Sus scrofa: one gene and its partners. The protein of the gene in region 1 interacts with the protein of each later gene in a biochemical or structural test. Links are inferred from orthologs where the notes say so. Each region holds a gene or a part of one and is shown in the gene's direction. Other genes may lie near its edges.

Region 1 (3,500 bases):
AGGGGTCCAGTCACAGCTGCATCCACTGGCCTATGCCACAGCTGTGGCAACTCGGGATCCAAGCCACGTTTGTGACCTACACCACAGCTCATGGCAACACTGGATCCTTAACCTACTGAGTGAGGCCAGGTATTGAACCCGCAACCTCATGTTTCCTAGTCAGATTCGTTAACCACTGAGCCACGACAAGAACTCCTACTGTTTTTTTAAATTTAAGAACATTCAGCAGTTTTAGCTCCTATGTTTGGGAGTGTAGTCCATCTTGAGCTAGTTTTCATCTGATGTGAGCTCTAATTTCCTTTCTTTGCATGTATCTATTCAGTTGTCAGTTGTCTGAGCACCATTTGTTAAAAACGCTGTTTCTTCCTCCATTGAATTGTCTTGGCATCCTTGTTGAAAATCACTTGACCCTGAATGCAAGGGCTTATTTCTAAACTCTTCAGTTCTACTCAATTGATCTGTGTGTTTTGTTTGTTTGTCTTTTCTAGGGCCGCACCCGCGGCATATGGAAGTTCCCAGGCTAGGGGTCTAATCTAGCGGGATCCAAGCTGCGTCTCTGACGGCAACGCCGGATCCTTAACCCACTGAGCAAGACCAGGGATTGAACTGAAATCTTCATGGTTCCTAGTTGGGCTCATTAACCACTGCTCCACGATGGGAACTCCAATCTATGTGTTTTTTGTTTCGTTTTGTTTTGGGGGAGAGTGTCTCTTTAGGGCCACACTGCAGCATATGGAAATTCTCAGGTTAGAGATCAAAGCAGAGCTACAGCTGCCGGCCTATGCCACAGCCATAGAAATGCAGGATTCGAGCCACATCTGCAACCTGCACAGCAACTCATGGCAACACAGGATCCTAACCCACTAAGCAAGGCCAGGGATTGAACCTGCATGCTCATGGATACTAGTTGGGTTCATTTCCTCTGCGCCACAGCGGCAGCTCATATCTTTTTTTTTATTATTATTATTATTAAAATATAGTTGATTTACAGTGTTGTGCCAGTTTCTGCTGTATATCTGTCTGTCTTTACAACAGTGCAACACTTTCTTGATTACTGTAGCTTTAGAGTAAGTTCTAAGATCAGGAATTGTGAGTCCTGCAACTTTGCTCTTATTCAAGATGGTTTTGGCCATTCTGAGTCCATTGAATTTCCATTCTCTCTTTTTTTTTTTTTTTTTTTTTTTTGGCTGTTCCCCCAGCATGCAGAAGTTCCTGGACCAGGAATCGAACCCAAACCACAGCAGTGACAATGCCATATCCTTAACCTGCTAAGCCACCAGGGAACTCCCTCCATGCATATTTTCTGATCACTTGTCAGTGTCTGCAAAGAAGCTAGCTGGGATTTTGATAGTGATTGTGTTAAATCTGTAGATTAATTTGTAGGATATTCCCATTTAACAGTATTTAAGTTTTCAGAGTATGTTTTGTACTTCTTGTGCTTAGTTTATTCTTATTTTATTCTTTTTGATGTTATTGTAAATAAAATCTTAATTTCATTCTCAATTTGTTCATTGCTAGGGTATAGAAATACAATTGATTTGTTTTGTTTTGTTTTGTTTTTTTAGAGCTGCATTAGTGGCATATGGAGGTTCCCAATCAGAGCTGTAGCCACCGGCCTATACCAGTGCCACAGCAGCGTGGGATCCTAGCCATCTCTGCAAACTGCATCACAGCTCAGGGCAATGCTGGATCCTTAACCCACTGAACAAGGCTAGGGATCAAACCCGCATCCTCCTGGATACTAGTCGGGTTCGTTAACTGCTGAGCCACAATAGGAACTCCGCTTTTTGTGTGATGACTTTGTATCCTGCAACCTTGCTGAATTTATTAGTTCCGATAGTTTTTTAGTGGATCCTTTAGGATTTCCCATGTATAATATCATGTCACCTGCAAATTAAGATAATTTTACTTCTTCTTTTCTGATCTGAATGTCTTTTATTTCATTTTCTTGCCTAATTGCCAGAACTTTTAATATTATGTTGGATGGAAGTGTCAAGAGTGGACATTCTTGGAGTTCCCGTCATGGCTCATTGGTTAACAATCCAACAAGGAACCATGAGGTTGCAGGTTCAGTCCCTGGCCTTGCTCGGTGGGTTAAGGATCTGGCGTTGCTGTGGGCTGTGGTGTAAGTCCCAGGCGTGGTTTGGCTCCTGCGTTGCTGTGGCTCTGGCTGGCGCCTACAGCTCCGATTTGACCCCTAGCCTGGAACCTCCATATGCCATGGGTACAGCCTTAGAAAAGGCAAGAAAAAAAAAGAGTGGACATTCTTGTCTTGTTCCTCATCTTGCAGGACAATTTTTAGTCTTTTCACCATTAAGTATAATGTTAGTTATAGGTTTTTGATATGACTTACTGGTCCTAAGTGGAAAGGTATACTGGTGTTTTATTTTCTTTTTTTTCCCCCCTTTTTCGGCCACCCCGTGTCATATGGAGTTCTCAGGCAATCCAAGCTGGAGTTGGAGTCTACGCCACAGCTGTGGCAACACCATGTCCTTAACCCGTTGCACCAGGCTGGGAATCAAACCTGAGCCCATGAGCAGTAGAGACACTGTCAATCCCATTGAGCCACAGCAGGAACTCCAGCATTTTGTATTTTGATGTGTTAATAAAGGCTTGTGCCACATGGCCAGAAAAGTATTTGTCATGGCCTGAGACTATTATGGCTTCTTGTGCATTCTAGACAACACTTTGATTTTATGTTTCAGCAATGGCTGCCATCAGGAAGAAACTGGTGATTGTTGGTGATGGAGCCTGTGGCAAGACTTGTTTGCTCATTGTCTTTAGCAAGGACCAATTCCCGGAGGTATATGTACCTACCGTGTTTGAAAACTATGTTGCAGATATCGAGGTGGATGGAAAGCAGGTGAGTATACTTTGCATAACAATTGGTACTGTTTTGCATGTTAGGCTATTCATACAGCCTGTAGAGAATTAGGCCTCTTGGGGGGGGGGGCAAGTTGATCCACTTTTAATAATGGAGTCAGAAGAAAAATCTGGTTTTTCCCCCCAAATCCCACTCCCCCCCCCAATTATTTGGGTTAACACATTTCAGAATTTTAAGTAAACAGTTGTTGCAGCTGGGTGAAGGTAGCCCTGTGTCCATCCACCAGGAAGCGCTGTCATTATCTGCACTGCCATCCAGCTCTCAAGGGGGCTATCAGACTCCAGCAGCCTGGGTCTGCTCTGTAACTATTTCAGAGCTCCAATTTGCTCCAGGCGGGTCAAGAGCTCCCCTCTCTAGTGCATACTTACTGGATCAGTGCATGCATCCACCTATACACGCTTTACCAATAAAGACCCAAGGTACTGTTCTGGCTCCCTTGAGCTGTTGGAGATGATCTTGAATCTCGTTGGTGTCACTGGTAGCTGTGATATCGACAAATTCCAGAAGCCCTTCTTTGAAGGGCAATTGGCTGAGGAGCTCCTGGGTCTTTCTGCAGAAGGGACAGGTGGGCTTGATGAGAACTACCGCCATATTCATATGTATTTCACATTGGGAA
Region 2 (3,971 bases), on another chromosome or scaffold:
TGTCAAGAATAACTTCCTAAGAGTGCAATTGCAATTACATGGTCAAAGGGTAAGGTACACTTTTTTATTTCAGCTTTTATTTTCTCCTTCTGAGATAACGAAATACAGTTCTGCAGGAAAGCTTTCCATACATTGTTCTCCAAGGCTTATCTTGTTAATAACCCCTTTAAGGCATTATCATCCTCCTATCCTTGCACTACAGCTGAAAAAAGAGCCCAAGTAGGCTGGTAACCTGATCTCATTCACCAGGTGAGTCCTGAATGAAGGTGGCAGCTATGGTATCAGTTGCAAAACACCCCTGGGGATTTGCTGGAACCCTCGGTGTGTCTCTTCCCTCACCCTAGCGACGTTCAACCCAGAGGGCTGCGGATTTAGTTCTAACTTTGCTCGCCCCAGCCTCAGAGAGCCCCTTGCACGCAGTGGGCGTCTTATAAAAGCAGTCTGCATTGCACGGACAAAAGCTCTCTCTATTAAGTGGGCCAAACGCTAAGGCCCTCCTGGCGGCACAGAGCTCCGCGCCAACACCCTGCTCCTTTGTCTACTCCTTCCTCAAGTTCTGCGTGGCATCTTCTGCAACCAAGCACACCGGCCCGGACCGCCGCGCCCAGGCCGACACCGGGCCTGGCGCCCCTGCGCCCCGGGCACCCGGCGCGCGCCCGCACAGGCCCCGCCCACCGGCCCCGCCCTGCCCCGCTGGCCCCGCCTCTCGTCTCCTCCTCTCCTCCCCCCCCCACCCCCCCGAGCAGACGAGTGGCGGCGGCGGCCCCAGGACCGGGTTCCCTCAGACAAGAGGGCGGGTGGAGGAGGAAGCGGCCGAGCCCGAGTCCCGCTCCGGCGCCGCCGAGCACCGCCCGCCTCAGCCCATCAGCCCCGTCGGCTCCTGGGCCTCGCGGAGCCGAGAGGAGGGAAAGGCGGAGGCGGTTGCGTGGAGGCGGCGGGGTGCGGGCGGAGGCGGCGCGGCCGGCCGCGGCTACCGCTTTGTTGTGCGGCCCGGGCGGAGGAAGGAGAAGTGGGAGGAGGGGGGAGCTCGGCGTCCCGCTCCCTCCGCGGCTCATGGCGACGACGCTCGGCACATCCGGGACCCTCCGGCCGTGGCGGCCGCGGCGCCGGCTGCTCGGGCCCCAGCCCCGGCCGCTGTGGTGACTGCGCCGCGCCTCGCCGTCGCCCCCGCCCCGCCCGCCGGCTCCGGGCCCCGCGTCGGGGCCGTAGCCCCGCCGCCGCCGCCCCCGCCGCCGGGGACATGTCTAACCCCGGGGGCCGGAGGAACGGGCCCGTCAAGCTGCGCCTGACAGGTGAGGGGGTTGGGCGGGCGGCGGGAGCCGGGCTGGGGCACCGGTGGGGTGAGCAAGCTGGCGGGGGGTGCCTGTGGCCTTGAGAGGGGCCAGGGTCGCGATCAACGGTGAGTTGGGGGTCGGGGACGTGAAAGGCCTAGTTCAGGAGAGTAATTGCAAAACCACTCTCCCTTGTTTGGAAATTCTTAAAAAAGCCACGGGTGACTCGGGGGTCTTTTGTTGGGGGGGGGGGTGTCCCGGATTGGAATTCCGGGAGGTTTTGAGGTCGAAAAGCCGTGGCGAAGAAACTCGGCTCTCTCCCGGGGCCTCGGGGAGCAGCCCCCGGGCTCCTGCCCAGCTGGGGTCGTCGAGAGGATGAGGAGCTCCTGCGGCGGGGATTATTGAATCCGGCTGCTGGCTGCGCGCAGTAAACACTCCTTAAAGATGGAGCGCTTAACGGGAGGGTGTGTGTGTGTGTTCCCTGGTTGTTAACTTGTTGGCCCACTTATGCCCGCCTGCAAAACCTTTCCTCTCTGCTGCCAGCGGCGGCAGCCGGTGCCACACACCTGAGACGCACGACTTTGAAAGGGAAGGAGACTGAGGTTGACTTTTCCGGTGTGTCTGCCTGATCCGACGACTCGGGCGCATTGTACACTCTGTGTTTTGGAAGTGTTTGATTGTAGGGTAACATGCTTGGGGTTGTTCCTTGTAGGCCGCAGAACTTGTGTTTCACTTCTAGCTCTAGACCTGCTTTAAAAACACATTTTGCGGGTTGGGGGGGATACATTTCTATATACGTGCTCATATAAACTTCAGCGAAGCAAAGTTTTTCTCGTTCCCAACTCTGCACCCCTTTCCTTTCTAAATGGAAAAGAATGGAAGGGTTGCTAGATAGCAGGCTTTTCTTACGAAGTGTTTATGATTCCAAGGGTATTAAATCTTTAACGTTACAGGTACGTTTTGCTTACAGTGCTATTTTTTTTAATATTCTTACATGGTCATGTTACCCCATTTTAAGGAAAAATTGTTTTGGCTTTGAAAAGAGTAGAGACCAGTGTATTTATTCCTAGTTTCAACATTCACTGTTAATAAATTACCCACGTTGATATTCGGATTTGTCATGAGAAAAATGGCTTTCTTTAGAGAATCTGTGTGTACGTGTGTGGGGGTGTGTGTAAGAATAAACTAATTATGTTCGCCTACAGTAGACTTTGAGATTTATATGGACTAATTTTGTAATTGAGTGCTTGTGTGTCACATCCCAGTCCACTGGCTGAACTTTGAAGATAAAAACGTGCAGCTGAATTAGGTATTTGAAAATTTAGCCTTGACTGTATGTTGGCTGCAATTTTTAAAATACATTACTTTCATGACAGTTTTGCTTTCCCTAGGGAAAACCCACAAAAAATTATTAACTGAGTGGTTCTTAATGGAAAACCTGGGTTGCGGGATGCCTGTCCCCTTCATTTCCCCCATTCAGTTTCCTTATTTTCCTATGAGTCAATGGAAACCTTTATAAGGGATCTTTGTTGCTTTAGAGTTTATCTACTGCTGTTCCTCCCTGGAGTTAGTCTTGTGCCCGTGATCATGGAAAGAACCTGTGATTCCAGGTGTGCCAAAAGCATCAAATAGGCTGGTGGCCATTTAATTCCTTCTAGGCTATATTCACAATAGAAAATGAGGGAGAAAATGAGGATTTCGATTTTCTGCAAATAAAATGAGTTTCAGGTTTTTAGTGTGACTTAATCTTAAAGTGTTTTTCTGTGGTTTCCTTACTGCATATGATACATTATAAAAAGTCATGAGTAAAGTTAGGATAAAGATTACACTTATTTTTTGGAGGGAGGTGGAATACTGGGCTAATTTATAGAGTGATTTTGTATTTTTAGATTTTTCTGAGGAATTTTTAATACACTGTATCCCCTTAATTGCAAAAACAGTTGGAGATACTGTCAGTTTCTTAAAATCGTTTTGTTTTGAATTTGTCTCTGTCATATGTCATATTTTAAGAGAAAACCATTCAAATATTAAAAACATTGTCCTCTCCCTTTTGGTTACATATGGTAGATTCTCTTCTGTTTTGCCAGGAAAGTTAACGTGTATTTTTTCATTTTTGTTCATTTACAAATTAGATGGTATAGATTTTAACAAATAGATTTCAAGAGCTGGATTCAATTAGCAGCTTTTTAGGACATAAACATTAAAGAGTTAGATGGAAAAGATTGTTTTGACTGACTGGATAAATGACAGGGCTGTGTTTGATGTGCGTCCAGGAATTGGTCTGGAGCTGGTGCCCAACTTTTCAGTCCGTCTTGAGAAGCCAAATAAAATATTTAACCTAGGCCTCATTTTGTTTAAAAAAAAAAAAAAAAAGGTTGATTCTTTGTTAAGACTTTAAGAAATGTTTGGCATACCTTTAGACTAAGTGTTTAACAGTTCATTTAGATCCGGGTTCCATAATAGAGGAAAATTACTTAAAAAAAAAAGTGGATTCCATACTGAATTTTTATTTGGTTTACAATACACGTGGTCTGTAAGGTGATTTTAAATTGTTCTTTGCTTTAAGTTAATACCATGCTAGTATTTTAAATTTATAGTGCCTTTAATTCCAAGGTGCTTTATGAATTGTAGTTACTCAATTATATCCTTAATGTAGAGGTGCCCTTTTACTGAAAGGTGTAAACAGTTCTTGCATGGTAT
Region 3 (4,151 bases), on another chromosome or scaffold:
AATGAATCCAACTAGGAACCATGAGGTGGCGGATTCAATCCCTGGCCTTGCTCAGTGGGTTAAGGATCCGGCGTTGCTGTGAGCTGTGGTGTAGGTTGCAGACGGGGCTCGGATCCTGCGTTGCTGTGGCTCTGGCGTAGGCCGGGGGCTGCAGCTCTGATTCGACCCCTAGCCTGGGAACCTCCATATGCCGCGGGCGGGGCCCAAGAAATGGCAAAAAGACAAAAAACAACGAAAACAAAAAACAACGACTAGCATCCGTGAGGACAAAGGTTTTTATTTATCAACTTTTTAAATTTTTTTATTTTTATTTTTTGTCTTTTTGTCTTTTTAGGGCCACACCCACGGCATATGGAGGTTCCCAGGCTAGATAGGGGTCTAATGGGAGCTACTGCTGCTGGCCTACGCCACAGCCACAGCAACGCCAGATCTCAGCCATGTCTGTGACCTATAGCACAGCTCACGGCAACGCCGGATCCTTAACCCACTGAGCGAGGCCAGGGATCAAACACTCAACCTCATGGTTCCTAGTCGGATTCGTTTCCGCTGTGCCACGACAGAAACTCCATCAACGTTTTTAGAACAAGCCATGATTTTCTGTGCTTTACACATAGAACTCCTTAAATTCTCACAACAAACCTTACTAAAGAGATAAGATTATCATTCCACTTTTTACATGAAGAGACTAAGAAACGAAAAATGCAGTAAGAAGCATAGCGTTTCTTCATGCATTCCTTAAATATTGACTGAGCTCCCAGAACGCTCAACTTCCACGATCCGTACTTCCGGAGGGATCCCAGAGGAACCCCTCTTCAGTTCACAAGAACTCTGGGGTTATAGCAGTGCCCCTTCCCATCACTAATATTTCCCCTCCGGGCGCCCGAACTGACATTTGACTTGCAGTCATTTGCACAATGCTGACCTGGAGGACCAGGCCCTCGCCCCTCTCCAGGAAATCAGGGCTTCACAGAACCCACAGCAAGTCTTAATAACTCGCACATAACCTGCAGATTTTCCTCACTGCTTGGGAAAATAGCACGCGCTCCTCAGCACCGCCCTCTCTTCCGGAACGACGAAATGCAAGGTTCGGATTGGGCTAAGGCGGGCCACGCCTCCTCCTGTTCCCCAATCAATTCCCTCACTGGGTGCGCTCCCTCCTCCTCAGCTCCGTCCCACCGCCCCACGTTACGTCGCTCCCTCTTTCCTCCTCCGTTATCCCGGGGGCTGCGCTCGCGCGGCAAGCCCACCTCCCTTTGCCTCTCATTGGCTGCTCAGGTCCCGCGCGAGCGGGATCGCGCCCTTCGCCCCCGCCCCCAAAGCCGGGCCATGCCTCTCTCCCGTTTTCTCCAAGAGGCCGCGTGAGGAGGGCATCGGCTGCTTCTGGCGCGCGCAACGGTGCGCGCGCCCCCCGCGGACCACTCCCTTCGCCTCAGCGCGAGTAGACGCTGCGGCTGGCATCCCTTATCGCGCACGCGCAGTTGCCCACCCCGTTCCTTCTGCCTCGCGCTGCCTCGCGCCGCAGCCACCGCAGTAGCGGCATTTTCTTGGGGCGCACGCGCACTGCGCCCTGTGCGCCCGTTCCCTGGACCCGGCCGCTGCGGTAGCAGTGAGCCCCTCGGGCGCGTACGGGCTTTCACTTCTCCCCCACCCAGCGCGGGTTATTCCCTCGCGGCGCGCGCTCAGGGGCCGTTATCCCCCTGCAGAGGTCCCCGCACCACGCACGCGCAGTAGCGAGGGGGCACGCGCGCGGGAGCTGGGGCCGCAGGAAGGAGGTGCCGCTGCCGCCATTGCGAGGGAGGGAGGGAGCGAGCAAGCGAGGCTGGTCCGCCCTCCCCCTGGTTCCCGCCCCTCCCCCCTTCCCCTCCCCGCCCCCCGCCCCGAGGGAGAGCAGCGGAGCGGCGGGAGGAGGAGGTGGAGGAGGCGGAGGAGGGAGCCCGCGAGGGAGGGTCCGCCCGGCCCCCCGCCGCCGGAGCTGCCGCCGCCGCCGCCGCCGCCGCCGCTTCAGCCGCCGCTGGACGAGGAGCAACAGAACATGGCGCCGGGGCCGCCGTCGCCGCTCCCGGGAATCCGGAGGCCGGGGCCGCGCTGAGGACGTCCAGCTGGTGAGTGCGCGAGCTCGTGGGCCCCGGTGGCGAGGCCGGGCGCCGCCCCGTTGTGGGGTCCAGGGGAAGGCGGGGACCGCGGGGCCCGGAGCCCGCGAACAATGGAGGAGCCGGAGGGGGAGGGGAGGGAGCGGCCCCCCAGCCCCCCGGGCCCCGCCGCTTCGCGCTGTGGCCCGGCCCGCCGGGGCCCGCCTGCCCTTCGGACTTGCCCCTGCCCGCCTCAGCCCTGCTGTCGCCGCGTCTGCCCCCACCCTCCGACCCATTGGGATCTCTGTGTCTGCCTCGGCCTCCCCCTTCCCTCGGCCACTGCAGCCACTCCGCTCGCAATTCTGCGCCTCCCCTTTCCCTCTTCCTTCCCTCAGTAATGCCCCTCGCCCCTCCCGGACTCTGCAGTGCTCATGGGACCCACCTCCTCCGTGACCCTTCCGCATCCCTTAATTCTGGACCTTCACATTCTGGTTCGTGACCCTTCTGCCTTCTCCCGTTCCGCTCTCAGCACCCTGCCCCTGCCCCCTTCTTTGACCGGTCTGCTGTTACCCTCTCTTGCACCCCCTGGAGCTGTCCCTCTAGGAACTGCGGTTCCACCTCCTTGGAGATCCATCTGGGACCCCGTTTGTCTCGGCACTGCTGCCCCAGGTCTTCTCTTTGGACTTAATTCCATCTCCCTCTTGGGCCCTACTGTCTCCTCGCAAAATCTGTCCCACACCTCCCCCCCGGATACCCCTTTGGGCTCTCTGACCCCTGCCTCTCAGATGCACCTTGCCTGCCTCCTCCCTTAGTCAAAATGTGTCATTCACATCCTTTCCTCTCTTCCAGACTTTGCTGCCTCCCCTCTCTGCCCCTCGTTCAGTCTCAGATCTTGCTGTGCCCTCCAGCCTGCTTGCTTTCTGACTTTGCCTTCCGTGAAGCAGCCTCCTCCCCCTTCTCTGACCCTGCAGCTCTCATTTCTGCAATTCACTTCTCTGACCTTTCTCCCTAACTCAGCCTCTCTGCAGCCTCACGCCCTGCAGTCCTTTCTGCCCCGGTGTTGTCCTTGCCTGTTGCCTCTCCATCTCACCTCCTTATTGGCCCTCTTTTGAGCTGTTCCATTCAGTTGCCCCCTTTTCCTTTGACCTGTTTCCCCTTCAATTCTCTGCTTAAGACCTGCTTCCACCCTCTATCTCCAAGTCCTGTCCTCCACATTTTGGCTCTTCTTAGATTTGCCCTTTACCTTACTGAATTATTGGTAACTTCTCTCTGATCCATCACCCCCTCCCTTCCTGTTGTGCATCTCAGACCTGCCCCGATCCTTTTTGCCCCTGCTCTTTCATTTGTTCGCTTCTGCCTCATCCTCTCTATTTTCCTTCCAGCTCTACCCCTTTTGGAGCTGTCCACTTGTCTGCCTATTTTGGGGATCCATTTTAACTTTCCTGCTGCTGTCTCCTCTTGGAGTGGTCCTCTTTAACTCTGGTCATGTTGGTACTGCCTCGCACCTCTGTTGCTTCTAAATTCTAAGTTTTCCTACTGATCTCCCCCCACCATTTTGATTCCCCTCTCAACCTCCAGTCTCTCCTTTCTTGTATTTGTCCCCCTTTTTTTTGCCCTGCCCCTCTTACCTTTTTAAGTCTCCTTCCCCCAGCTCTGCCCCTTGTAGAGATGTTTTCCCAATCATTCCTACCTTTCATTTCACCCACCCCCACCCCAGCTCCCTCTTGGAACTGCCCAGTTTTTGGCTAGAGTCTCCCTCCTTTTTGCCATTCCTCTCTCAGTTCTGTTCTTCATTGCCTTGTTTCCTGCTGGGCTCCTTCTCTTCCCATTTAGTTCCTGTCAGACTTGCTTCTCCCACCTGCCCCCCTTGACTGCTTCTTCCCCCTGGGTGCTTCGCCTCTTCAGGCATGCCTTTCTCTGAACTCTGTCCCTCAGCTTTGGAGGGCAAGGGTCTGGGTTGGACCTAGGCTTCTCCAGACTCAGGTTTAGACTGCAGAGTCTCTCAGCGCCCTGACCCTGAGGGTTTTATCTCCAGGGATCCTGTGAGATCTCTGTAAATAGGTGGGGTTGGTTAATTGGTTA
Region 4 (3,500 bases), on another chromosome or scaffold:
CCCCATCACCTCATCCAGGAGCAAATAGGGTCTGTTTGCTGTGAGTGTGTTTGTGCCATGACCTGGCACTTAAGGCGCAGCCATTAATGCCTGCATATCTCACCTCCCAGATGTGGAGACTTGGACCACAGAGGGAGGCTCCAGTGTTACTAAGTGAATGCTACTGGGGCTGAAATAGCGTCGTTAAAATAAACACCTCCACCATTCATGTACACCATAGGCTGGGCATTGTGCTGAGTGCCTGCTCAGCTCCTCCTTCCTGACCTCCTGCTTCACCTGCCTCCCCATCCCCATCCCTTGCCTCTGTCCCCACCTCCCAAACTCAAGGGGGCCAGCAGGTCCCCAGATTTGGGGTGTGTAGTGCATTCTGTTCAGCATGAGCAAACACAGCAGGTAGTATGCTCCTTCTCCACTGACCCCTTCCCAACTAGATGTTCTCTCTCATCTTGCGAATCTTTGGGGTAGACCAGGATGGACTTTACTATCTGTGGTCATTCTCAGCCTGGGTTGCACCTCAGAGTCCCTTGGAGAATTTTCCGAAAAAGGCAAATGCCCCTGTCTTAGAGATTCTTATTCTGCTAGTTTGAGGTGAGGCCTGGTGATTTTTTTTTTAAACTCAGAAGATTTAATTTTTTAAAAGGTAACAATTTCTAACAGGGCCATAGTAAAGAAGAGTATTATACAAAGTATCATAAATTGGTTTTCCATTTCTGGCTCCCAGAGCTACAACTACTACTATTTTATGCATATCTAAGGAGATATCTATATCTATCTATATCTATTTTTTGCATAAATGGTAGCATGCTATAATACTGTTCTACTTTATCTCACTTCATATATTTTGAAGATTTTTTCATTTTTGCACATCTACCTTACTCTTTAATGTCTGCAATATTCTATGTTCTGTGGTATAGACAGCCTATAACTTATTTAACCAATACCCTATTGAAGGACTTTTTAACATTCTAATTTAATTTTTAATGTTTTTGGCTGCACCTGCACCATGTGGAAGTTCCTAGGCCAGGGAGCAAACCTGCGCCACAGCAGTGATCCAGACTGCTGCAGTGGCAATGCAGTGCCACAAGAGAACTCCAAAGGACTTTTAATATTGTGTTTAAAATGATGCTGCAATAAATATGGTTCTGCCCACAAGTGTAACTATATCTTTAGGATAAACTCCTAGACATTGGCTAGCTGGATTAAAGGACATGTGAATTTGTAGGTTTCACAGATTTTCCCAAATTGCACTCGAAAGAGGCTGAAAAAAATTATACTCCCAGAGGGCATCTATATTTTTTACAATGCTTCTCTGCTTAATCCTGGGCAGCTGAAGCTGAGACTCAACTCTTGCCTTAAACACGTTCCTTTCACTTTCTAGTAGGTGACAGCCCACTTGGGGATTGAAGGGTGCTCCAGCCTGTCCCCTGACTGACATGTCCTTCTCATCCTTCTCCCGACTCCGGCTAGGACACAGAGTTGCAGAGAAAGCTAGACCATGAGATCCGGATGAGGGAAGGGGCCTGTAAGCTGCTGGCAGCCTGCTCCCAGCGAGAGCAGGCTCTGGAGGCCACCAAGAGCCTGCTGGTGTGCAACAGCCGCATCCTCAGCTACATGGGCGAGCTTCAGCGGCGCAAGGAGGCGCAGGTGCTGGGGAAGACAGGCCGGCGGTGAGCAAGGGGGGAGGCGAGGCTTTATGGGGGGTAGCAGTGCAGTGTGTACATGGACTGCCCTGAAGCTGGCTTCTTCATGAAGACTTACCACGGGCCTGGAAGACACCTTGGCGTCCTGCCACCACAGTGTGCTGCTCAGAGGTGTGCTAGTGAATTGCTAGGGCTGAGCTCAGGAAAGCAGTGTGTCTGGTGAAAGGCTGGCAGTCTGAGGGCTAGTAATGCAAAAGCCCTAATCTGCAAAGCCCTGCCTGTGATCTAATGAGGCGGGCTGCCTGGCTTCTGGAAACCTAGTTTCCTCCAAGCTAGTTTACCGAATGGCCAATCTGCTAAATGGCCAATTTATTGTAACTGACAACAGTTCACTGTACCTGGGGTTTGCCTCATCCGAGGTAGGGATTGGGAAGGGAAATAAAAAACATAATAAGGGAACGCCTACCCATCCACGTAATTAGACTGTGCATTCTAAACAGACTCACCTCTTAGATGTGAAGCCCAGCCTACCCTGACCATAGACTCTGCTGATCTGACAAATCTGCAGTGAAATGGTTGAGGCGATGGCTCTGGTAAAACTACAACGTGGGAGAAAATATTTGGAAAATTGATTATTCTGAGAACTGGCCATTTTTGATAAACTGGTCATTTTGAAAACTGGCTTGTGGCAAAGTAGCCTGCTTGGCCCCACAAGGCTGAGTGCCGAGAAGGTCCGGGCCCCTCACTGGCAGAGTGTCCATCCCAGCTCAGCCGGGAAGGCTGACACAAGAAGAGGCTGCCAGGAGCCCTCCAGAGCTCACCCAGGAAGACACCAGGGGAAGGAGGAAAGCTTCAGTTGCTGCTCCATAAAGTTGAAGGAAGGGCCAGCAGGCATGGGGACAGCTCCTACTATGACTTTTCTATCTTGTGAGAGGGGACCATTGAAGGCTCTGCCCTGCCCAATGGGTCACACACAGAGGGCCCACACACAGGGCCCACACACAGAGTGGGATGTGAAGTACACCCCAAGTCCCTGGCAGCCAAACACACTGCCGTCAGTGCCACATCAGTTAGTCACTAATTTCACTGTGATGAATCATGAATTAGTATAGCTAAGCTGGCCATCACCTGAGGAGAGGGATACTTGCTCAATTGGGTCCTAAGGATGGGTGGGGAGGGGAGGAAGGTGGATGTCCCCCCCTTCAGTGGGGGGACTGGGGAACTCGGGCCACTGGGAAGGTTTGGCCCATTAGCCAGGAGGATAGAGGGGAAATCAAAGCTCAGGGGAGGACAGAGAGAGGTTCGTGGCAAATGGAACACAAATGCTCCATACTGAGGTTCTTGATTTTCTGGCTGCCAGTACCCTCTTTTATCAAAGTGATGAGATGGTGGAGACAAGTAGCCTCCTTTATTGTTAAAAAGAGAGACTTGGAGTTCCCGTTGTGGCTCAGTGGCTAATGAATCTGACTAGGAACCATGAGGTTTCGGGTTCAATCCCTGGCCTTGCTCAGTGGGTTAAGGATCTGGCGTTGCCGTGAGCTGTGGTGTAGGTCACAGACACGGCTCGGATCCCGCATTGCTGTGGCTGTGGCAAAGTCTGGCAGCTACAGCTCCGATTCAACCCCTAGCCAGGGAACCTCCATATGCCATGGATGCGGCCCCAGAAAAGTCAAAAAACAAAGAAACAAAAACAACAAGAAAAAACGAGAGAGCCTGCAAAATCCTGCAAGCCTGGGGATTAATGGAGAAGAGTCCTTGAAAGGGAGCCTCTCTCTGGGCACCTGTCTCCTCAAGCCCCTCTTGTCCCTGGCAGGGTCTGGGCAGGTGGTCAGGGAGGGTGCTTGTGGGGGGTGGCCCAAG
Region 5 (4,015 bases), on another chromosome or scaffold:
AGGAGTTTTTTCTGAAGCTGGTGTCCTATAAAATTGTTTATGCTCAACAGGGCAACATCATAGCCTAGCTTATAGTGTCAGGCCCCCTCATAGCAACAGAGGCTTCTGAAGGAATAGTGAAAACTGGGTCCCAGTTGTCATGAGCTGCTTTTCTCTTTCTCACCAGCTACACTTGAAAAATCAGAATTGACAATATTGCCCTTTGGGTAAAACATGGGCTCTCCAGGCTAACACAGGCCCTGTTACTCCCTAATACCTTGTAACTGGTTCATTCCACTCATTTACATTCCTACCTAGCCCCTGCCATTTACATTTGCACACGTCACTCAGCAGAAAAGAAACCAAACAAGCCCAGAGAGAAGTAACACTGCCGGTGAACTGATGGCCAGGCAGAACTACAGCTTCATGCTTCATTTTCCCTCCAGCAGATTCTCCTGCTAGACATTCAGATCGACTGTTAAATGTCCCAGGTATCAGCCTCTCAACAGAATGCAGATGAGATCAGATTCAAACACTTCTCGCCACACTTTACCAGCAACGTTTTCCTAGCTTATTTCTTTCTTCCAAGGTTGGGTGTCTCACGACATAGGCTGGGATTCTAAAACCCTTGTCCAGGTTGCTCTAGCCACCCCTGACCTTCTTTCTGCCTGTTAAATATGCCAAGTGTGTCTGGTTTACGGGTCTTTGTATTTGCCCCGGGCTCTTCTTGGAACTCTCTGCCCTCCGCCTCCACATAGGCGTCTCTTCTGAGCTTCAGCTCAGTATCACTTCCTCAGAGAAGCGCTCGTCAACGGACGACCTCATCTATTCACATCCTGCATGCCCTACCTAGCATTACTGCCACCTCCTCTGGGAGGCCACCTCCGTCTGGCCTCCCTTAAGAGCTCCCCTTGGGGCTTTCGTTCGCAGCTGTCAAATGCGCGGGGCCGGGAGGCGGGAAACTGTGCCCCAACCCCTTGCCTCTCTGGGCCCCTTCCCCTTCACGCCCATGAAGCACCCTGAGAGTGGAGATACGCGAAGGGGGCAGTGTTTTCCACACAGGCAGGTGGCCAAGAGCCCTACTTCGAGTCTCCCGGACAGGCGACCTGAACACACCTCACGCGGCGCCCCGCCCTCCCGCAGCCCGCGCTCGACTCCCTCTGCCAGCCCACCGCCACCACGCATGCTCCTCCCTCCCGGCCGCGCGAGGTCGGGGGCGGGACCTTGACGCGCCTGCGCAGTTCTCGCCCGGCTTCCGGGCGGTTCCGGCGCGATGATCCAGAGGGCCAGTGTCACTAAGTAGCGGCGGGGCTTAGGGGCGTGCGGGCCCAGCGGTCCGGCCCAAGGGCTCGGGTCCCGGGGTCTCTGGGAGCGGCCGGAGGGTGCGGAGACAACCAAGGATCGTCGCCCGCCGCCGCCACCAGGCATGTCGGCCGAGGCGTCTGGCCCCGCAGCGGCGGAGGCCCAGTCCCTGGAAGTTCCTAAGCCCGCGGGTCTCGAGCCTGGCTCCGCCGCCTACGGTCTCAAGCCCCTGACCCCGAACAGCAAGTATGTGAAACTAAACGTGGGCGGTTCGCTGCACTACACCACGCTGCGCACCCTCACGGGACAGGACACCATGCTCAAGGCCATGTTCAGCGGCCGCGCGGAGGTGCTCACTGACGCCGGAGGTACGCGAGCCGCCCTTGCTTACTGTCCTGCCTCCTCCAGATCCCCGTCTCCCTTTTCTCCCAGTCTTTCTTCGCCCAGTCTTCTCACGCCCCTTCTCTCTTGCCGTCCAGTCAACTCATTCTCACTTCTTCCATCCCCTACATCCCATGGCACCTCCCTTTTCTCATTCTTCATCCCCTTCCTCCCTCGGTCTTTACACCCAGCAGTAGTAACCAGCAAATTCTCAACATGTTAGGACCAAATTTTCATTACTGCTCCCCACGGACTCTTCCACTCTTTCCTCCTCAGCTCAAAAGACTCGGGAAGCAGCCCTGGTGCCAACAGCACCCTTCCAGGCAACCTTCATCAGTTTCTTCTACCTCAGCACTGCCAGCAACCACCCCCGAGAGTTGGAGGACCTAACACAGGTCCCTACACTCTAGAAATCTATCTGTAAATAACAGACTGTCAGAGGAGAGGGCTGCTTTGGGTTTGCCAGGGACGCCAGAGTGGAGAGTGGACAGTTCTCTCTGGCAGGCGAACCTTACCTTCTCAAAGTGTGTCGCAGTCAGGTTCGGGCTCCATATGCTCAAGGGGAACCTTAAAAGTCCAGGGAGGGGGATTCAGAAGAGGTTAACAAGGATTGTGAGAGCAGGAAAATTGAAATTGGGGAGGCAGAGCTCAGTCTTCAAATATCTGCAGGTGAAGAGTTTATTGTTCAATGAATATTGGCAAAATGCCAGTTAGTGTAGGAGATAGTTTGGTAAATGAATCTGATTAAGATGAGCCTTATGGAGTTTTCTTTTTTGTGGGGGTAGGGAGAGACAATAAGCAAGTAAACATACCAAAACGAAGACAGAAACATGTAATTCCAGATGGCAATGAGGTCTATGAAGAATACAAAGGTTAAAATGGTAGTGGAGAGTGGGGTAGCATTCTTTTTTTTGTCTTTTCAGGGCCGCACCTGTGGCATATGGAGGTTCCCAGGCTAGGGGTCCAGTCAGAGCTATAACTGCCCGCCGGCACCACAGCCTCAGCAATGCAGGATCCAAACCAAGTTTTTGACCTACACCACAGCTCACAGCAACGCCAGATCCTTAACCCACTGATCGAGGCCAGGGATCGAACTGGAGTCCTCATGATACTAGCCTGGTTCGTTAGCTACTGAGCCACGACGGGAACTCCCCCCCCCCTTTTTTTTTTGGTCTTTATAGAGCTGCAGGTGCAGCATATGGAAGTTCCAGGTTGGGTCGAATTGAAGCCGTAGTTGCTGGCCACAGCCACAGCCACAACCATAGCACTGCAGGATCTGAGCCATGTCTTCGACCTACACCACAGCTTAGGGCAACACTGGATCCTTGACCCACTGAGTGAGGCCAGGGATCAAACCCGAGTCCTCATGCATACCAGCTGGGTTGTTACCACTGCGCCACAACAGGAACTCCCTGGGGTAGCATTCTAATTCAATAGGATGATCAGAAGTAACACGAGGTAGAGGTTTATTGATACGGTAATCCGGAGGAACTTTCTCTTGGTGAGAACCCTCCAGGTATAGAACAGATGTGGGAGGGAATTACTTCTGTGTGTCTGGATGTGTTGAAAAGGGGCCTGTGGGAGATCTCACTGGAGATGTTTTAAAGGCATTTTCTTGGAGTTCCCATCATGGCGCAGTGGTTAACAAATCCGACTAGGAACCATGAGGTTGCGGGTTCGGTCCCTGCCCTTGCTCAGTGGGTTAAGGATCCGGTGTTGCCGTGAGCTGTGGTGTAGGTTGCAGACGCGGCTCGGATCTCGCGTTGCTGTGGCTCTGGAGTAGGCTGGCCCTACAGCTCTGATTCGACCTCTAGCCTGGGAACTTCCATATGCCGCGGGAGCAGCCCAAAGAAATACCAAAAAAAAAAAAAAAAAAGACAAAAAAAAAATAAAGCCATTTTCTTGGATATGGCAGAGGCTTGAGACAGATGAGCATTTAGATTTTGTAGCTTTGGAGTCCTTTTTTCTTTTCTTTCCTTTTTTTTTTTTTTTGTCTTTTTACTATTTCTTGGGCTGCTCCCATGGCATATGAGGTTCCCAGGATAGGGGTCGAATCGGAGCCGTAGCCACCAGCCTACGCCAGAGCCACAGCAACTCGGGATCCGAGCCGCATCTGCGACCTATACCACAGCTCACGGCAACGCCGGATCCTTAACCCACTGAGCAAGGGCGGGGACCGAACCCGCAACCTCATGGTTCCTAGTCGGATTTGTTAACCACTGCGCCATGACGGGAACTCCTGGAGTCCTTTTTTCATTAAAATGTAGTAACTCCAGGGCCTTCAGCAAAGCCATCCTTCCTTCTGCCTCTCCCCTCCTCACCAGGTTGGGTGCTGATCGACCGGAGCGGCCGC
Region 6 (4,125 bases), on another chromosome or scaffold:
TATTCAAGAGGGGGGCTGGAAAACATTCTGTCTGTGGACCCATTCAGACAGAGCTTGAACTGGCTAGAGGAGGAGGAGGGGGGGTGTGTGTGAGTGTGTATGTATGTGTTTTCTTCCTCTGCTTACTTTTGCCTTTTACACTTGCCTGCACCGGCTCTCGGGAGGTATAGATGAGTGATTCTCCATAGAGCGGTCGAAAGATCAACGTGGAACGACTGGCCTATGTAACATCTGAACACTGTCTTACTAGAAAACTTTGAAAAGGCTGAGGATTAAAGAAAGAAGTGGCACTCGCAGCTCTGCTAAAGGCTGCAAGCATTGCAGCAAAATCCTGGCGAATCTCTCCCGATAGCACTGACTTGGTTTCAGACGTGCAGGGTTTGTTTTTGTTTTTGCCACGCCCTGGGGCCTGTGGAAGTTTCCAGGCCAGCCATCAAAGCTGCACCACTGCAGTGGCCCAAGACGCTGCAGTGAGAACGTGGGATCCGTAACCTGCGGCGCCACAAGGGAACTCCCAGACTTGCACTTTTTATGCGGACGTCCCCAGGCCTGTCCTCAGGTGGCCGCTTCCTGGGCAGCACTCCTGCCGGGCCTGCTCACTCCTTTCCTTCCAGACACTTCGGAGCCCCATCTTTCATCGGGCCCCATCCCTGGGGGCTCTGGGGCAAGGCAAGAGCTCTGGCTCCTCTCCTTTCCCACTTGGCTTCTCGAAGGGGTCGCCTCCCCTTGCCTTTCCATTTTCCCGCGCTCTCTGCGTTCCTGAGCCCTTTCTAGAACGGCAGTCCCGCAGGGCCACTGGCTAGCGTCCTGGCTCCCGCGCGCGGCCAATCTCGGCCTCGGCCAGCGCTCGCTGGATGCCAGGGAAGCGCCGAGCCCAGCACGAGTTGCCATGGGAGTGCGAGGCCGGGCCGTCCCCTCCCACCACGTGTGCGCTCCGGGGCCGGCCTTCCCTCCGCTGACAATGGGCGTCTCTGCAGGGGTTCTCCCTTTAGGCTGCCCGAGTCCCTCCTCCACCTCCCCGCCTCCGGGCCTCCGGGAAGCTAAGCGGGGGCGTGTGTGCACACCCTGGGGGAGTTGCCCTCGCGGCTGCCGGGGCCAGAAACGCCCCGCCGGAGCCCCGGACTCCGAGCAAGTTCCCGGGCTCCGGGCGCCCCGCGCCCTCCGGCCTCCGGGCGCGGCCGGGCTGAGCGGGCGGGCGGGCGGCAGAACCCCCCGGCGGCGCCGGGCCGGACGCGGGGAGGAGTTCGGCGGCGGCGGCGGCGGCGGCGGGCCGGGGGGGCGGGCCCGGCCCGGCCTCCCGCTAGACGATGGCGGCGGCGGGCTCCCGGCCCCACCTGGGCTCGGCCGCCCGGCACGCGCCCGGGGCCCCGCAGCCGCGGACCCCTGAGGCGGACGGCAGGACGCCGGGCCTTCCCCAGGACCCGGACGGCTGCGCGTTGGTGCCGACCACCCAGGCCATCCCTCTGCAGGTGGACATGGCCATGGCCCTGCAGCGCGTGCGGATTTCCGAAAAGTACGGCAAGAGCTACCTCTGCCTGCTGCAGGCGGTCTTCGTCGCAGGTAAGTTCCCTCCTGGCGCTCGCCGCCCGCTGGCCTCTGCCTCCCGCCAGGCTCGCGCGCCCCTCGCCTCCCGCGCTCCATCCCCAGGCGCCCGGCCGCCCAGCACGCTTCGCCTGCCCTCGGGCCGCGAGCGCGACGGCCAGCCCGCCCGCCAGTTGTCCCTCCGGCCGCGGGCCGCGCTGCGGGGGGACTGTGGGAAAGTCCGGGAGGGGGTGTGAGGACGTCTCCGCCGTGGCTGCTTCGGGTCCCCGCTGTCCTCCTCACCCGCCTCGGTGCGTCGCCAGAGGTGGCACTAGACGGTGTCTTCCAAGCCCGCATCCCGCCCACCAGAAGCCGGCCTCCCGAGGGTGCACGTCCCTCGTAATCTTCCCCGCAGGCTGGAAAAGCGGGGGTGGGGTGGGGTTGAGACGTTTGGGGAAACCGAGTCCCCAAAGGCGCTGGGGTTCGGAGACTCTCCGCACTGCAGTCGGAGAAGTTGTAGAGAAACCGCGCCTCCGCCGGCTTGGACTTTTCACCAGGACGGGTGTGTCTTGCCAGCTGGGCCCAGGAGTTTCCTGCCTCCTGGGGTCCTAACCCCAAAGGCAGAAGTTTGGGGTTGTCTCTCGGGACAAACAAAAAGAGCCGACAAACCCACACGTCCTTTACTGCTACTGCCGTGGTTTGGTTGAGGGGTGTGCGCGGGGTACTGTGGACTCGGTCACTTGCCCGCGGTGATGCGCACACGTTTGCCTCGCGGGAGGTGCAGAGCTTTGGGGTTGGTGCAGCAGGCTCTGGGCTCCGAGGAGACAGCTCCCTAGGGGACCATGCAGACCGGGGCTCAGGAGCCACCCGAGAACAGGGTGCAGCTCTGGGGTTTTCAGACGCGTTTTCGAGGTACCGGCATTGCCGTGCCTGTGCTTAGAACGCAGCGTGTCACCGCTGCGGCCTGTCTGGATGTTCGGGTCTTGCCCGTTTGGGGTTGAAGGTGGGCGCGATTGGTTTCCAGGTGTAATCCGTCGTGAAGGGGCGTGGGCTGGCGCAGCGCACGCTCCTTCAGGTGTTGAGCATTTGAAAGGCCCTGGGATGCTGCGGCCGCCTCGCTCGTCGGAACGTGTGCAGCTCAGGGGGGTGTGGCAAGGGCTCTGCGTCTTGTGTTTGCTCCTGCATCTTCCTGAGAGTTCAAAACAAAAACAAAACAAACGTAAAGCTCCAGACAAGAAATGTCTGCTTTAGCACGGAACTTGTTAGGTAGGCTACGCACTCTGCGTTCACATTTCTACCGCCAGTGATTTCTTGTCTTTCTCTAAGTTGTGCGGGTGTGTCAGCTTCCATACCTTTGAAGGCTCCTGCATGTTGGCAGGCCCCTGTCGCCTCAGCATTATGACCCAGCACAGCAGCCAAATGACACCGGGTGCAGCGTTCCATTTTTAAGCAAGCTTGCAGGACTGTTCTGCCTTTTAGCATTTTTAGCTGCACGGTCTGGAGGACCGCCGGAGTGGCCTGAAAGTGGTCTGTGCTTAGGATGTTAGGGCACGCACCCTAGTGGGATAGTTTTATGTGTAAAAAGGATTTCATGTATCTAAAAAAGGTTCATCTGTTTAAGAAATATGTGTACAAGGCTTTTCACTGTGGTGCAGAACTTTCTGAGATCGTTTCGGTAATGACCGTTTAGACACTGCTCCCTATAGGACATGCTACATTGTAATAAGCTAACTGCACCTGCTTGTGCAGCATCTGCCGTGGGCAGCGAGGATGAGCAACTCTACTTAGGGCCCTAGCTAAGGGCAGACTTCAGGGAGAAGGTGATGTGTGACTTGAATCTTCAAGGATGCGCATGCATTTCCAGGTGGACTGGGGCTAGGGATGGAGGGTGGTGGGGAGGGGTAATCAGGCAAAGGAAATAAGATGCGCAAAAACAAGGAGAAAGGGGATGGCATCACATGTTTGGGAAACTTTTTCTTTCTTTCTTTAATGATTAGAATGTAAAGTGTGGAAAATACAGGAGAGAGATCACTTTGGGGAGGTAGACAGAGGCTGGGTCAGGCCCTTTGTAAGGCATATTAGAGGGCTTTACTTTGTAGGGCCAGGAGGAGCCACCAGAGTGTTGTAACCAAGGCCGCTATGTACCGTTGTCTAGGTTGTGCACTGCAAAACTGTGAACTGTGAACGACGCCCTTGCTAGGGTTGTATCAGGCACATTGTGCACCGTGGTTGACAGCAGCATTGCACAGTGGAGCGTCTTGCTTTGGGAAATGCCATCTGGTGGCTGTGTGAAGGACACAGTGTGTGGAGTGTGCCGCAGAGAGGAAGAAGACCGGGAATAAGGGGGCCAGTTAGAGAGCAGTTGTAGCAAGCTGGGCAGGCGTGGGCCAAGACACGAACTAAGTCAGTTCTGGGAATGGGGAGAAGGGGAGAAGCTTGAGGAAATGAGAGGGTAGAATTGATTTGACTTGATTTCGAGGTTTGAAGGACAGCGCAGGAGACTAGGTTAATTCCGGGTTTCTGGATGGGATGGCGGGATGGGAAGAGAGGTTGGGATATAGCAGGGAAGGGAGGAGGAAGAGGAAATTTGGGGTTTAGTTTTGG
Region 7 (4,089 bases), about 78 Mb from region 1:
TGTTTTCATGATGACACTTAGAACCTTGGGACGCAATATTATAGCCCACTGCTTCTCAATCAAAAGTGTTATAATTTCTAAATACAAGCTTGTAAGAGTGCATTGCTTGTATGTATAAAACTTATCAAATCATCTGTGACTAATAAAACTTGAGAAAGAAGGGGAGGAAAGGGTATTCAACCTTTCGGTAACATGCTTGTCTTATACTTGCCAAATTCCTCTTAGGCAATACTCTGTTCAGAGAGCCATGTGTTTAATTGTAAAAATCTGTCAGTCTCATAGGATTCAAAAGATATCAATCATTTTTGTCAACAAAGAAAAGAGTGAAGGCTATGTGACTCTTCTTAGGAAAAGATGTGCTCAAGAGGGAAAAAAATGCAGTCCAGGGAGGGCTGAGCAACTATAGGTTACAGGAAAACAAGAGTTCCAGACTATAATTTCATTCCTCCTCCTCTACTTTGGAGTCGAATATTATATTTTTCATTTCACATAGTTCCATGTGCTCAGTAAGATTATGCAACTCGGCCAGTCTCGGCCGTGCAATATCCACTAAATGTTTTATAGAGGCCATCAATATTAGCAGTTTGGGGTATGTGGAGGCCATAGCTTCCTTCGGCTTTGGCAGAATGGCAATGTTGTGTAATGAAGTTGGAGCTGGCCTATATTCAAAGCTATATTTCAAAAGGGCTGCTAGTCAAGCCACATGACAAGTGGTTCTTTTTTTCTTAGGACTTTATTCTAAGTGGCCATCAAAACTGCTGTATTACAACAGTTCCATGGGTGGAATGGGAATTTTCCATGTTTTACTCCTGATTTATTATTTTATACTAAGATTTCTGAATTATACCTTACTCGAGCTTTAAAGACATCAGGACACAAAGTTCAGTTTCCTGAGTTCTTGGTTGGGTGATCTTAGGCTGGTTACTTCACTTTTCTGCCTCAGTGTCCTTGCTTGTAAATTAGTGATACATCTACACCAGGGAGTTGGAAGAAAGCTTATAGATGACTTCGACAAAACTCCAACTCCTTAATTGTGTCACCTCAGGCAAGTTATTTCACTTTTTTTTTTTTTTTTAAATCTTAATCCCTACTTGTAAAATAGACCAATTGTGGTTACCAGCTACAATAGATTATGATTAGATACAAAGTTCCTACAGCAGTGCCTGGGCACTGGGCGGCTCAAGAGGACCCGATAATACAATAAAAATGCTAGCGAATATGCCCTCGGTTGACGCGGCTGGGTTATGAAACTTTGGGAGAAAAGAGAAACAGAAGCGGGGACCAGGAAAGAGGACCAGCTTCCGCGCCCTCCTGACCAGCGGGGCGACCAGCCTGCGCTGCGACTCTCCCGGACCGGCACCACCTCGCCCCACCCCTGCCAGGCCTGCGCGAATCCGGGCGGCGGCACAGCGCGGTCCCCAGTCAGGCCCTCCCTCCTTCCCTCCTCCCGCGCCTCCTGCGGTGCCAGCTGCGTCCGAGCCCCAAGAAACCGCCGCCGCCGTGCCGGTTCCTGCGGCCGCCCTCGCTCCACAGGTAGGAGCCGTGCCGTGGTCCGGGAGCCTGGATTCCCCCGCGCTCGCCCTCCGCCCCTCCTCCCGCCGGCCCCAGGCAGCTGGCTGCTCCCCGCCCAAGTTGGACGGGACCTTGGCAGTGGCGTTGGCGGCCGGCGCCAGCGCCGTGCGGCCTCGCAGGACCGGCTTCCCTAGCAGCCCCACGGGGTCTCCTGTGCAAGCCTTGGTCCCGGGTTCCTGCAGAGCGGACGCTGACAACTTCGGCGCGCACTTTTGTCAGGGCGAGCGGCTGCCTGGAGCGCAGAACCGTTCTGGCTCCAGGCCGAAGTTGGGGCGTGCTCTGCAGGATGCACCCACCCACCTCGCCGCCAGGGACCCCAGTGCCGTGTGTTGGATGCCTCTGTGTTACTTCGCGCGCCCGGGGTTAGCGTGCGCTGTGAAATGACCGGGATGGCGGGTGCGATGGGACTAGCATCCCAGACCAACCAGGAAGTGTTGCATTCCGAGGCTTAAAGCCCAGCCTGCCAGATGCACCGTCCTGGCGTGTGGCCACACAGCTGCTCGCGGGGGCGCCCACGAGATGATGACGCCAGGGTGGGGCTAGGGAAAGGAGGCAAGGAGCTGGGCGTGTGTAAAGAGATTTATTTTTCTCGCCCCATCTCAACGAATTTGTGGCTTAGGTCTGGGATCCAAGAGGGCGGTGCTCCAAGCCTCGGATAGGATTTTGTGACGCCCTTCGGAACTAACCCTTGTGGAATCAGCTCAGTACTACAGACACGCCTGTATTTGTTCCTTTTCCAAGTCTCAGATTATTGTCTTCTTTATTTCCTCTGTAAAGTAGTAAACGCAAGTAGATTTTTAAGGACGACAAGGGTTTCTACGTTTGCTTACCCATAGGTTTCTCCGCAGAATGAGGAATTCGCTAAACTTTACCTGCCGGGCCTGCCAATTAGTTTAGACCACCTTTTGAGTGCTTTCCCAGGGCTTTTGGGAGTCCAGGCACCTAGAGACCTTTGTGTTGGGTTTAATGGCTAGTTAATGGTAGTGCAATGAAAATGTAAGGCATGAAAAGAATCTACAGCTTGAGCTATGAACAGACACCACAATTACACACTGCCTATTTAAGAAAGAATTTCTTTCAGTATTCAATGTTTTATGATAACATATATAAAAGTGAATTGTACACAGGCTTTTAACTTGAATTTGCACTCAGCCTTTAAATGTCGTTTGGGGATCTTTTCCCTAATTGGTTGAGCTCCCAACCTGTCTTCTCAGGATCTGGTATAATTCACAATCCATATTAAAAAAATGTGAGTAGTTAAGGCTTTGAGGAAGATGTGTCTTTACCATGTTTGTCCATGATGTCAGACTATTTGTGGAACATGATGAGAAGTACCTGTAACGTTGGTTGATTGACTTATAACTAAGTAGTGGGGACTCTGTTCTTTGGAAGTTGTCTGATTACTAAATGTGTTTCTTAATTAAAAATTGTTATAAAATTCATTTAACTTTAATTATTACAGAGTTTTTAAAGTTATTTTATTTCATTTTATTTTTATTGTGATAAGATACATATAAAGTAAAAAAAGATACACATAATGTAAACTGCCATTTTAACCATTTTTTTGTATACAGTTCAGTGTCATTAAGTACTTTCACATTATTGTGCTACCATCAAGACTATCCCTCTACAAAACTCTTTTCATCTTTCTTTTGGATTTTAATAACATGTTATTGATAAGGATTGTGATGCAAGCTTTAGGTTTCTCATTAAGCAAGGTTTGAGTTCCTTTTCATAGCTTTAGAGAAATTCATTTTTAAAGAAGAGAAGTGGAAAGCTGTAGCCAGACTCTGTTTAGTAAATCTATTTATTTATTTAATTTTTTAATTACTCAAATGAATTTATCACATCTGTAGTTTATAATGATCATCACAGTCCAAAAAAAAGTAAATCTTTTTTAAAATTAAAGTACAGTTGATTTACAGTGTTTCTTCAATCTATTTAGTAAATTTAATCTCCATCAGGAAAGGATAAGCTTGTGAGCTATTTCCATTTGTAGGTAAAGCTACTGTGAAGTTTAGCCATCAAGTGGGCGAAACAAGTAAGAGAATTATTGTTGATAGTTTCATCTCCTTAGTATCTAAGAGAAAAATGAAATACTTTTGTCTTCTTAGCAGTGAGGTAGCGTGTTTCTAAATTATGCTTGAGCTTAGGTTGTCCACAGCTTTTTAGTAACCAAAAGCAGTTTTGATCAAGCTAGCGGCTACGTTGTAGCAATTTCCTTTCCACTCCAGGTGTTTACTAAAGATGTATGCCAGAGGAGCTAGCACATAAGATATAGCCCTTTAAATTGGCAGTTAGTCTGAGTCATGTAGATGAGGGGAGCTGGAGCTGTGAGAGCTGTGAGAGTTTTATGTTTATAATCCTATAAATTTTAGCACCGTGAAATAAAATGTAGTTTCTGCCACTGGTGTGAATGAATATTGTTGCAGAGTTAAAATGCAACAACTTGTAGGAGTTCCTGCTATGGCTCAGCCCGTTAAAGGATCTGGCCTTGTCTCTGTGGTGGTGAGGGTT

The links.
Region 2: of the proteins of RHOA (region 1) and SMURF2, one has a biochemical effect on the other in vitro, tested with the Homo sapiens proteins (3 studies listed by BioGRID, with this or other methods). The link is inferred for Sus scrofa from reciprocal best matches to the Homo sapiens genes RHOA and SMURF2.
Region 3: the proteins of RHOA (region 1) and ARHGAP35 form a complex in vitro, tested with the Homo sapiens proteins (3 studies listed by BioGRID). The link is inferred for Sus scrofa from reciprocal best matches to the Homo sapiens genes RHOA and ARHGAP35.
Region 4: the proteins of RHOA (region 1) and RTKN form a complex in vitro, tested with the Homo sapiens proteins (8 studies listed by BioGRID). The link is inferred for Sus scrofa from reciprocal best matches to the Homo sapiens genes RHOA and RTKN.
Region 5: of the proteins of RHOA (region 1) and KCTD13, one has a biochemical effect on the other in vitro, tested with the Homo sapiens proteins (2 studies listed by BioGRID, with this or other methods). The link is inferred for Sus scrofa from reciprocal best matches to the Homo sapiens genes RHOA and KCTD13.
Region 6: the proteins of RHOA (region 1) and MCF2 form a complex in vitro, tested with the Homo sapiens proteins (2 studies listed by BioGRID). The link is inferred for Sus scrofa from reciprocal best matches to the Homo sapiens genes RHOA and MCF2.
Region 7: the proteins of RHOA (region 1) and PLD1 form a complex in vitro, tested with the Homo sapiens proteins (2 studies listed by BioGRID, with this or other methods). The link is inferred for Sus scrofa from reciprocal best matches to the Homo sapiens genes RHOA and PLD1.

Annotation. Positions count from the first base shown.
Region 1 is NC_010455.5:31,928,708-31,932,207, reverse strand, and holds part of RHOA (transforming protein RhoA), read left to right. Parts: intron 1-113; exon of another isoform or gene 114-129; intron 130-2,705; 5' UTR 2,706-2,707; coding exon 2,708-2,863; intron 2,864-3,500. UniProt on the Homo sapiens protein: Small GTPase which cycles between an active GTP-bound and an inactive GDP-bound state.
Region 2 is NC_010454.4:14,367,512-14,371,482, forward strand, and holds the start of SMURF2 (E3 ubiquitin-protein ligase SMURF2), read left to right. Parts: upstream 1-1,171; 5' UTR 1,172-1,240; coding exon 1,241-1,292; intron 1,293-3,971. UniProt on the Homo sapiens protein: E3 ubiquitin-protein ligase which accepts ubiquitin from an E2 ubiquitin-conjugating enzyme in the form of a thioester and then directly transfers the ubiquitin to targeted substrates.
Region 3 is NC_010448.4:52,710,112-52,714,262, forward strand, and holds the start of ARHGAP35 (rho GTPase-activating protein 35), read left to right. Parts: upstream 1-1,351; 5' UTR 1,352-2,102; intron 2,103-4,151.
Region 4 is NC_010445.4:68,605,060-68,608,559, forward strand, and holds part of RTKN (rhotekin), read left to right. Parts: intron 1-1,467; coding exon 1,468-1,667; intron 1,668-3,500. UniProt on the Homo sapiens protein: Mediates Rho signaling to activate NF-kappa-B and may confer increased resistance to apoptosis to cells in gastric tumorigenesis. May play a novel role in the organization of septin structures.
Region 5 is NC_010445.4:18,138,790-18,142,804, reverse strand, and holds the start of KCTD13 (BTB/POZ domain-containing adapter for CUL3-mediated RhoA degradation protein 1), read left to right. Parts: upstream 1-1,215; 5' UTR 1,216-1,405; coding exon 1,406-1,649; intron 1,650-3,986; coding exon 3,987-4,015. UniProt on the Homo sapiens protein: Substrate-specific adapter of a BCR (BTB-CUL3-RBX1) E3 ubiquitin-protein ligase complex required for synaptic transmission.
Region 6 is NC_010461.5:114,353,305-114,357,429, reverse strand, and holds the start of MCF2 (proto-oncogene DBL), read left to right. Parts: upstream 1-1,325; 5' UTR 1,326-1,475; coding exon 1,476-1,560; intron 1,561-4,125. UniProt on the Homo sapiens protein: Guanine nucleotide exchange factor (GEF) that modulates the Rho family of GTPases. Promotes the conversion of some member of the Rho family GTPase from the GDP-bound to the GTP-bound form. Isoform 1 exhibits no activity toward RHOA, RAC1 or CDC42.
Region 7 is NC_010455.5:110,373,520-110,377,608, reverse strand, and holds the start of PLD1 (phospholipase D1), read left to right. Parts: upstream 1-1,289; 5' UTR 1,290-1,533; intron 1,534-4,089. UniProt on the Homo sapiens protein: Function as phospholipase selective for phosphatidylcholine. Implicated as a critical step in numerous cellular pathways, including signal transduction, membrane trafficking, and the regulation of mitosis.